Linked DNA regions of Schizosaccharomyces pombe. The protein of the gene in region 1 interacts with the protein of each later gene in a pairwise test. Each region holds a gene or a part of one and is shown on either strand. Other genes may lie near its edges.

Evidence for each region.
Region 2: the proteins of tef5 (region 1) and hpt1 interact in a two-hybrid assay, tested with the Schizosaccharomyces pombe proteins (one large-scale study listed by BioGRID).
Region 3: the proteins of tef5 (region 1) and SPOM_SPCC1183.02 interact in a two-hybrid assay, tested with the Schizosaccharomyces pombe proteins (one large-scale study listed by BioGRID).

Annotation. Positions count from the first base shown.
Region 1 is NC_003421.2:1,730,779-1,734,347, reverse strand, and holds tef5 (translation elongation factor EF-1 beta subunit, guanyl-nucleotide exchange factor (eEF1B)), read right to left. Parts: upstream 1,598-3,569; 5' UTR 1,575-1,597; coding exon 1,495-1,574; exon of another isoform or gene 1,354-1,494; intron 1,248-1,353; coding exon 683-1,247; 3' UTR 501-682; downstream 1-500. Other genes in the region: ribonucleoprotein complex protein Utp502, read right to left, coding at 2,197-2,919.
Region 2 is NC_003424.3:2,154,780-2,158,349, forward strand, and holds hpt1 (xanthine phosphoribosyltransferase), read right to left. Parts: upstream 1,739-3,570; 5' UTR 1,678-1,738; coding exon 1,544-1,677; intron 1,270-1,543; coding exon 783-1,269; 3' UTR 595-782; downstream 1-594. Other genes in the region: hcn1 (anaphase-promoting complex TPR lobe accessory factor subunit Hcn1/Apc12), read left to right, coding at 16-258. UniProt on the Schizosaccharomyces pombe protein: Converts guanine to guanosine monophosphate, and hypoxanthine to inosine monophosphate. Transfers the 5-phosphoribosyl group from 5-phosphoribosylpyrophosphate onto the purine.
Region 3 is NC_003421.2:592,969-596,557, forward strand, and holds SPOM_SPCC1183.02 (glutathione S-transferase), read left to right. Parts: upstream 1-2,054; 5' UTR 2,055-2,091; coding exon 2,092-2,244; exon of another isoform or gene 2,245-2,381; intron 2,382-2,482; exon of another isoform or gene 2,483-2,524; coding exon 2,525-3,034; 3' UTR 3,035-3,086; downstream 3,087-3,589. Other genes in the region: exocyst complex subunit Sec15, read left to right, coding at 1-1,322, 1,374-1,467; fxn1 (frataxin), read right to left, coding at 3,400-3,544. UniProt on the Schizosaccharomyces pombe protein: Involved in the oxidative stress response and detoxification.

The DNA.
Region 1 (3,569 bases):
TACTTAAATTCTTTTTCTCATCTACTGTTTAATGTATTCTTAACGTTGTTAACTGAATCATATTAACTTATGTTCTATATGTTGCTAGTTGTTTTATTCATTTTAGTAATACATTTTCAAAGTTATTTTTCTTCATATACATTTCATCGTAAAGAGTATTTTCTAAATAATACCCAATTTTGAGAAGTGTAAAACAATTGTCGAAATAGTAAAAATATGAGTTGATCTACGCAGGACTGTTGCAAAGAACCGCAGCATAAAAAAATGGTATTGGATCATCCAAATTAAACAGATTGTTTCACTTACTGCCCATACATTACAGTCATCAATCGTAAATACCCGACTGGGCTTTAGAGACGTAATTTCAGTATTCATGATTGATGCAAAAAAAATAACTTGTCATACATTTCTATGTCAATTACCATTGCTTGAATTGCATAAAATACACCGTTCGAACCCCATATTTCTTAATTATACAGATTTACACGCTTACAACACGATTGAGGTAAAAAAATCGTACTTTATGAAACAATCGATAGATATAAACCAAAAACAAATTTAATTATTTGCTTTCCCATATCCACACATTCCCCTCTAACATTAGAATATAGAGGAGAAGATCCTTTTGTAATTCCTAAGGACCTCCCTGATAAACGGAAGAACGCTTTAGTTGTAAAACAACTTACAACTTGGACATAGCGGCGATATCGGTAGATTGGACGTAATCTTCGAAACCCTCAAGCTCCTCTTGAAGAGCTTCCAAGGAAACCTTGTCGTCCTCAACAACCAAGTTAATTTGGAACTTGTTGACACCGAAACCAACGGGAACAAGTTTGGAAAGACCCCAAACAAGACCGTCCATTTGAATGCTACGAACGGCCTTCTCCAATTCGTCCATAGGGGTTTCATCATCCCAAGGCTTAACATCCAAGGTGACAAGAGACTTGTGAACGGCCTTGGGTTTAGCAGCCTTCTTCTTGTTGTATTCGGCAACACGCTCGGCCTTAATGCGCTCAGCTTCAGGATCCTCCTCTTCGTCAGAGCCAAAGAGATCGATCTCATCTTCTTCAGCGGCAGCAGCACCCTCAGGACCATAGGCAGAAACCTCCTTGGCGGTACCAGGAAGAGTGGCAAGGTCATAAGTGGCAATTTGCTTGTACCAACGAGCACCGTTGGGGTACTTGGCAGTATCAGGAGCAACGCCAACAGCCTTAAAGACTACAGCATCAGCTTGGCTAGGCTCATATCTATAAAACGTTAGAAAGGATTTGGTAATTAAAAAACATCAAGCTCAGTGAAAAGATACAAACAAAGCATTTTCACGTTTTTTGTTAAAAGACGGCTATCGTGTCTAATTGAGAGGGCTTTAAAAAATAGTCTTTGCACTTGTAGATATGCCATAGGGAACTTTTAACAAAGGAAAAAAAATACGATTTGTGATCAAATGGTATTTCACTATTATTTTGATGCATTTTCCGCACAAAAATGACTTACCCTTCAATGAAAGACTTGTCAAGCAAGAAGTCGTTAAGTTGCTTAAGACCAGCGTCAGAGGTGAGATCAGAAAAACCCATTTTTAAAGTAGTTGGTTGTTGGCAGAAAATTTTAGAGTAGTTTGTCAAGAGTTATGGAGGTTTTACTTATGTTAATAAATTAATATTATTTCAATTTTTTTGTTAATATATACAGCACTACACTAATTGATATTGGATACAATGAAAAAAATATTGCGCTATTACAAAATATCAAAAATTGTCTTAACATTTGATATTCGAGAAGATGAAAAGAAATGTAGAACTATAAATTTGTTGAGCAAACCAACAAATGGCTTCATGATTAAATTATGGGCATACTTTCGAATGAACACGCTAAATATACGATACGACTGCAGGTTAGTCACACAATCTACAAATACTTACAAACTTGGTTTGTTTATATACATGTATGGTGTATCCATATTATTTATGTATAGATTAAAACTAAGTAAAAACAATTTCCGAATTCCAACACGTACCCATAAAACGATAAAGCGTCATTCTCATGGCACCAAATATTAATATCCAAGGAACCAATAAAATATAAAGGAAAAAAAGTAGAGCTTTGTAAATTGATCAAGACACTCTATTTATTATGATCAAAAGAAAACAGAAGTTATGCAAAAGGAATGATTTTTTTCTTACAGAGGTATTCCCGATTTTACCGAGATTTGCGACTAGTTTTTCTTGGGCTTTCGGGGACAACAAATTTAGGTAGAATTTGTTTTTCCACCTCTTGTTCCTCTTCTTCAGAAAGCATTTCATCTTCCGGGATGACAAAGTCATGATCAATGTGACTTTTTCTAGGTGATAATTCTGCATTTGGCGACAAAGAAGCTTCCAAATTGCTTTCATCAAACGCATCGGCATTTGCTTCCAAATCATTGTCCATGTCATCATTTTCTGCTTCATCAACTACCTCTATATCGTAGCCTGCTTCATCCACATCCTCATCGATGTAATCGTTTTCCTCCTCTTCTTCTCCATCTTCACTCGAAAAATCAAGTCGACGTTGCCTCATCTCTTCCTGAGATAAAACCATATTTAATTTTCCGGACAAAGAAAAAATTTTAGTCATTAAATGAGCACTTTGTACAAGCTTTTCATGTAACTGAACAAGTGAATCCTGCAAATCCATGACGGTGGTCAAATATCCACCATGTGTAACAATAATCCAATGCAACCAAATCGCAAGGGATGGCTGCATATTTATCAACATGGCTGGGATTAAAGTTCTAGCTAAATCAGCCGCAATAGTACCATCCATATTGCGAACAGTGTTGGATACAACACCAACATCAGAGCAATTCAAGCATTGCTCCAGCAAATCTTTCGAATCTGCATTTTCTTCAAATTTGATAATATTACCGGTTGTGGCAGCCATGGTTGCCTTTCTACCGCAATTTTACCTCCAACTGGTGGTGGGTTGAGGATAGAAATTTGGTGAATACAAACTGTGCACTACTCTCAAAATTTTACTCTCGTACAATTCGAACTTCGCTACTTTAGCAATATTCCAATAATTTGATAAATGAAGAAATTATAGATTACACTTTGTTAAGCCATATTAAACACATGTACAAAAAAGAACAAGACTAATCTAATAATGTATAAAGGGAATTTGTATTATACAGCGACCTATCGGGTGTTAAAAAGAAAAGACGAAAGAGTGACATGAAAAAAATCTCGCTTGACAAACAGACATCTCAAACAGGGTTTATAAATGGCTATATTACAGCTAGAAACCTTCCAAAAAAAAAAAGGACCACAATAATAGAAACTCCCGAAGCAAAAAAAAAATCATTAATGACTTTCATATGCAAATTTAAAAAACTCAAAAGTATCGTTGTTGAAGAAGATACGAAAGTAGTGAATAGCAATTAGGGAAAGGAAAAATTCAAAGTCGTAAGGAAGTCTTCAAGATTGATTGCCTCACAATGAATGCCATTAAATAAGAGAAGCTCGTATATACATCATAAGTTTTCAATCACCATCTAAAACTTCTCAGGCGATGCAAAAACCCAAAGCTTGCGC
Region 2 (3,570 bases), on another chromosome or scaffold:
GTTAGTATCTCCAACATGTTACGAAGAAATCCTACGGCAATACAAATTACTGCTGAAGATGTTCTTGCATATGACGAAGAAAAGCTAAGACAAACGCTTGATTCCGAGTCAACAACAGAAGAAGCATTGCAGAAAAACGAAGAGTCAACACGTTTATCGCCTGAAAAGAAGAAAATTATTCGTGAAAGAAGGATTGGAATTACTCAAATATTTGATTCTTCAATGCATCCTTCCCAAGGTGGAGCCGCTCAATCATAGACCGTGAAACTAAATCATAATTAAATCATCAAATAATCGTTAGCCCACATTTTTTCGATTTGCACTGTTTTGTTAGCATTTCACACCTGCCTCCATACTGCTGATCTTTACATATAACTATTTTAATCGGCCATCATAATATGGACTACACTGTCTATGTTAATTTAATTAGTAAGATATACATCGATTGATAGAACAGTGAAGTTTTCGTTAAACAATGACCAGTCTCATTAACTTTAATCTTGCATACATTTATCCTAATGCTTCACTCCATCAATTATTCAACTTAAATTCTTACCCATATCAAATTGTCAAGCTATTTCATTTCTATTGTTACCAAGAGTATTTATAAAGGTTATTCGCAAAATTTATCAAATCTATATATGTATATGCATGTCGACAAAAAAAAAAGTGGGCTTTAGGAAAGAGGTGAAGGCGTGTGGATCAAATAGATAGTTTGCGAATTAATAATTAAGAGTAAATTCGAAAAGCTCACTATAGTTTACAAAACACGAGACTCCAATCTATGGCTTCAAATCCCCCATTTTTGCAACATGACTGTCATGCTCCTCAATGTCTTGAGCTTCCCAAGGATACATGATCCAGCAGTCGGGAGTATTGCAACCAGTAAAGTAATATTTATCCAAAATCTCCTTATCCAATTGAGCATTTTTTGGTTTAACCTTATTATGGACAACAAAAATACCAAATGTGGTCTTCTCTCCTTCACGGTTAAGCTTCTTAGCTTGCTCGGCAACATCTCTTTGAAGCTCGCGAAGAGCATAATGGAGAGTGGTACGAGTATCATCTACCTCGTCAACAATTAGAATGTTCTTGCCAACGAGATCAACCATTCCAAGAGTACTAAAATCAAGCCATTGAGTTCGCTTAACTTCAAGCCCAGGAACTTCTTCAGGGGAATCAGAAACAAGCTCTTCATACAGGCTGAGACCAATGGCTTGAATGGGAATATTTTTGCTTCCTTTTTTCTTAAGGAAAGTACGAAGGATTCTGTTATATTAGCAAATGTTAACCATATGAAGATAAGAAGAGCAAGGAATTTGAATGCACCACGATGGATTCTTGGGCTCAATTGAAAATGCAGGTAAACGATGCGTCCTTTTGAAAAGATCATACATAAAAGCCTTAAAATCCTTATCGTGGATAAGCATTGTTAAAATCAATCATTTGTGAAATCACAAAGATGCTGCCATTCAAATTTTAACGCAGTAGGCCGTTATAGGAAGCGCTTCTTCCTGTTATCTTCTTTATTTGTTCAACTTACCTAGCCGGAATGAATCCACCACCTCCAATGGCTATAATCACATCAGGACGAAAGGTTTCCAAAATTTTTTCTGCCTGTTGAGCACACATCTTATGAATGTCATTGTAGCTGTAATAAAGACGAACGGGATCCATAATAACTTAAGAACAAAATGAAACAACCAAAAAATGAAGGGAACGATAAAGGTGTAAACGTGAACGGGGGAAATACGTTCTTTTGATATTTATGTACTTTTGACAATTTAAGCGTTCCTTAAGGTAATCTCGTTAAATTACTGATAGGAAAAAGTCACTAACCCTACCCTCTATGGTGGTTAGTTAGGGATATTCTAACACCGACCAGACGGTGTCTAGCAAAGAATATGATGTTTAAAACGATTTCAGTTATCTATGAAGGCCATTACATATGTAAATGTTCTTTATATTGATTTTCTAGATGTTTAATACTTTTCAAAACCCATCATTTCGTTGTTAAAAATATATTAAAAGGTATATCAGCTAGCATGTCTGATAAGATTTATTATATGTATATAATGCTTTAGGTTTCAATTTTACTGTTTACTTTTTGTATAATTATAGCAAAATTAATATAGCTCAATTTTTGCCTGGGCAATTAACTGCGGTACATTACTCAAATGTACTCGTAACAAGAAAGGTTTTGGATTATTCAGTGCCGTTTGAAGAACCGATGCAGTCAGTCATCACATAGGTGTCTCATCCGAAGCCTCGTAGTTCTGGGAAGGATTAGACGCATTACCTAAAAAACGGTACAAGGGGGATTGTACAAGTAGATAGTGCAGCGAATTTGTAAATATCTAATCACTTGTAACCAGCCAAAAAGTAGATAACGCAGCATACGTAGTAAATATCGAGACACATGCTTACTTCAATCTTACACTAACTGGTGATTTTTAGATATGGTGGAGACCATGAGTTATTGATAAATGAACTATTTATTTGTCATTTGAGAATGAAAAGAAGGAAATATAATGAACAGGATGATTGAGAATGTTCTTATTCTTTTTGTTTTATTAATAATCATGTATATATATATATATATATATAAAAATTTTTTTAAAAGAAAACCCTCTGACATCAGGCTTTCATTCAAAACATTAACAATGCTGCTATGTTGACAGTATAATTATGAAAAGCTCTTCAACATCACTAGATTTTCCTTTTAGAAAGAGTTTTATTTTCGAAGCATTTCTTTTTTGTATGCATTCACTCATAATATTAAAATTACTTGATATATTTAGCTTATTACTAGCGAAATCTGGGGAGAGAGAATGCTCGTTTATGAACGAAGATCATAAAACATTGTAAGTTTTGAGAACAAACCACTGCTATAAACAACAAATAGAAAGACCTTTTTAATATATTTTATGGCGTTTAATCAAATTATTAAGCAAACCCAGTAATAGCTAAAAATAGTTGAAACATCTAGGATCATTTTCAATTCCTTATTTATTTACTTCTAAACAGCCGTTCGGCCAAGTTTCTGTGAGCTACAAGAAATGATGGTATCTTTCAATAAACAATGATTGGCGTTGCATAAAGCAAGCGTATGAATGGAATATTGAGCTATTAAAAATAATATAAATATGCAATTTCAAACGTTTTCGGCTTTTAAAAGTGGAACGTGGCACATTTAATCAACGTAAATCATTTTTTTTTTACCTATAGAAGTTTACCCAAAAATTGATACCAAGTATTAGCTTTATTAACTAATTACTTTTGGTAAAGCGGTAGAACCTATTCGACGAAATATCAATCAAATTACCAAGTACGATCTTGTCGCTCACTCATTACCCAAAAAATCATAGAAAGGACGATCCAAATATGTGTGCATATTGCTTATAATTAACTCGTTTATTACTGCGATACTCTGTAATTCGTTGTATCTGATTACGAATAATAATAGTCACTTTTACGATATCAATTATTATCAGATAAATATTTTCGATCGCAAAATTTGATCTTCTAACTATTTTGACTAATTTGTGCGTTTATTCTTAACACCGAATT
Region 3 (3,589 bases), 1.1 Mb from region 1:
TTAGCGCCTAAAAGTCTGACCACGCTAGACATGGCTGTTGTCAGCGAATGGTTAAATTCTATTGCTGGGTTTATGATAGTTGAGTACTACATATTACAGTGTATACCCAATTTTCGCTCTTACGAAGAAGTTCAAAACATTTGGACTATTATTTGTGAAAAGTTGGTCGAAACAATTTTAAGTGTTGCGTTTACAGAGCAAAGTACCACTACAATAATAAAACTGAAAAATCAAATTGTTTTGCTTATGCATACCATGGAGAGATTTGGGTTTTCCGTTGAAAGTTTGCGGAACTTATGTGTCGAGCTTATTGATGCTTTTGGTGGAGCCCTTATATTGAAGCATTCTGTGTTCTTTGAAGAGGCGTTTGAAAAGGATGTGTATGCTCCCATGATCGTTGAGACACAGGAGGAATATGACCATTATATAGCGCCCTATTGGAACTTCCCCTCTGAACCCTTCCCAAGAACAATGAGCTTTTCAAAGATGTGCCCACTATGTTGCACAACTCTTTCTAAATTTGTCCGTCATTTCTTCATGTTCTTAAATGATTCTGTCATATTGGCTACCGAAGTTAATGAAAAGGCACCACGATTCTATAGAAGGTTTATTCTTCGAAGCCTTGTTGATAGATTGAAGAGTTTATATCCAAAACTTGCACTTTCTCAAATGTCTCAACTTGTTAAAAACTTTTACGCATTTGAAGATCCTTTGTTACAAATAGAGAAAAGCCTCGTTTTAAATAAGCCTATACACCAGATTGGTGCGGAAGCCTCTTCTAGTAATAATGTTAAATCAACTGAATTACTTGAAGGTTTAGCGAATGCACGAAAGTCTGCACTTCACGAAATTTTTGTTAAAATAAATTTAAAAATCGACGACTTTCTCGGCTTGGCAGAGTACGATTGGACGACTACTCAGGTCCGAAAGGATGTTAGTGGATATTTGCAAGAAATGGTTACATATCTCCAAACCATGTATCTTGAATCGCTTGCAGGTCTTCCAAAGCATGACAAGTCGTACGTGTATTTGGAGACTCTTGATCATCTTTGCACTGCTATGGTTGATTTGTTGTCAGATCCATCTATTCGAAAAGTTACGACTGCTGCCGCCGAGGGTTTCAAATTGGACGTTGAGTATTTAGAAAGTTTTGCAGCTCAAGTACCTGATCAAAGCATTGTTAATGCCGACAGTTTTATAGAGTTACGACAATGCGCAAATCTGCTGCTAGGAGATAATATGGAGGAGTATTTGGATACGGATAAGTTTATGAGAGACTTCAATAGATTGCAACCAGCGGTTGCTATCAAGTTTTTAGAGAGGTATAATATTCCCGCATGTTTACAAGATAATTTTACTAACCTTTTGTGCAGGCATATTAATAATTATTCTGCTAATCCCCTTAGCAATGATCGACCAAAGCGAAGGGCCATTGAAATTTTAATAGCTACTTTGAAGAAAAGATAGCAGATCCTTCAACGATAATTTCATTTATTGATATAGTTAAATGTGTTTTCGGGGAATTAATTAACTATCTATTTCACTCATTTGACTCATTTCATATTTTGTCCAGCTGATGGTTCTTTACTTTCACTTTTTTATATGAGCAATGCGGATGAGTGTTCATTTAAGCCTTAGAGGAGGAAACCTTTTAATTTCGTTTAATTTCTCCTTTTTTTGAGACCTTAACTGAACTCACTACAAACACCTGTCCCATGACCCAAAAAACATTAATGTACCTAAGCTATTGATGGAAGCTAGCAGTATATTGCTTGCAATACCAGTAATGATCTTTATTTTGTTCAATCAATGCGAAAGATAGAGAATTAATTTACTTGAGAAAAAGTATAGGTCGTTATGCTTACCAATTGCCTTTTTCCATTGTACAAAGCTCGTTCTCGTAATTTTTACATTTGAACCCCTAATTGATTTATTTTTCTGTAGATGTTAATTTATTGTTGTAAAAAGTCCATTTTTTACAAACCTAGAATTCTCTTCTTTCATCTCATTTATATTGTTGCTATATGTGTTTTCAGGCCAGCGACTCACTCTCCACAAACCAACCTCAATTCATTTTCGAAATATATCATCATGTTTTTGGGCACATTATATTCTTTCAAAACTAATACGAGAACTGTTTGCCTTTTGGAGTTGGCTAAACTCCTTGATCTCCAAGTTGATCTTGTTGAGACTTATCCTCATAAATTCTCTGCAGATTTGGCTGCAAAGTTTCCTCTCCAAAAGGTATGTAATTATAAATTTAATTTAAAAAAATTTTTGGCAATATAAGTCGGATGTCGTGTATTGGAATCTGTAGGATTTTACCGTGGTTTAATAAGTGGAGGGTTTTATAACGTTTTGCAAGTCTGTTTCCAATTGTGGCTTACTTCATATAAATGCCAAAACACTGTTTACAAATTATTAAAATTCGACATTTGATTTGAAATGTGACATGCTAATATTCGTTCACCGTACTTATTTTACGCATAACTTTTTAGGGTAATATTGACTAATTAATTACTAGCTCCCTGTCTTCATTGGTGCTGATGGCTTTGAATTATCTGAAGTTATTGCCATTGTTAAATATTTCTATGAAAAGGGAAAGCACAATGACAAGGAAGGACTTGGTCCTGTCAATGAGGTTGAAGAAGCTGAGATGTTAAAGTGGATGTGCTTCATTAACTTTGACATCGTAACGCCTCAAAATGTCCGCCCTTGGGTTGGTATGTTCCGTGGTAACATCCCTTACGAGGAGAAGCCTTTCAAGGAATCTGCCACCAGAGCAATCGATAGCTTGAAGATTCCCAACGAACTTGTTAAGGATCGTACATATCTTGTAGGGGATCGCTTCACCCTCGCCGATTTATTTTTTGGAAGTTTACTTCGTATATTCTTCAATTCCATTATTGATGAAAAAACACGCAAGGAGCTTCCTCATTTAACTAGATATTATATAACTATGTTTCATCAAGCAAAACTTGAAACATATTTTCCCTTGGAGTTGCCTTTGACCGTTACTGTGGCCAAGAAGTAAAGAGATTTAGCGCTGATGCTCCTGCTACTATTTTATATAACTCCAATAAAATGCGTTCTTTCACAAACGCGTGATTTAAGATAGAAGATTGAAAGAAAAAGAGAAGCTATGGAAATGTAACTAATCTCTTTTATTAATAGCTTAAGTATATTTCAAAATAGATTGCTCACAAACCTTTAGAGCAAACCATCATCATTGTGATGAGCTATACTTTTAAATTTTTAAGATTCTGAGATTTACAAAGACTCTTCTAATGAAGTAAGTAAAATTACTTTTATAAAATAAATTGTAATTTTTTGTTTAATTTGGGATTTTGTTGTTCAACTTTTAAGACAAGCTCATCGTAAGTTTCATATTGGTCACCTCTAAAAATCTTCGGACTTTTTGAACTCAATGGGTCGCGAAAACCATTTACTGAATTCGCTCGATAAGATTCCTAGTAGAGTCCCTTCATCACGGGTTGAACACCAAGTTTTTGATTTGAGAGAATATTCATAATGTTTGGGACCACTGGTTTTAGGTTAGTACCGATTCTAACAAGACTAAACTTGGATG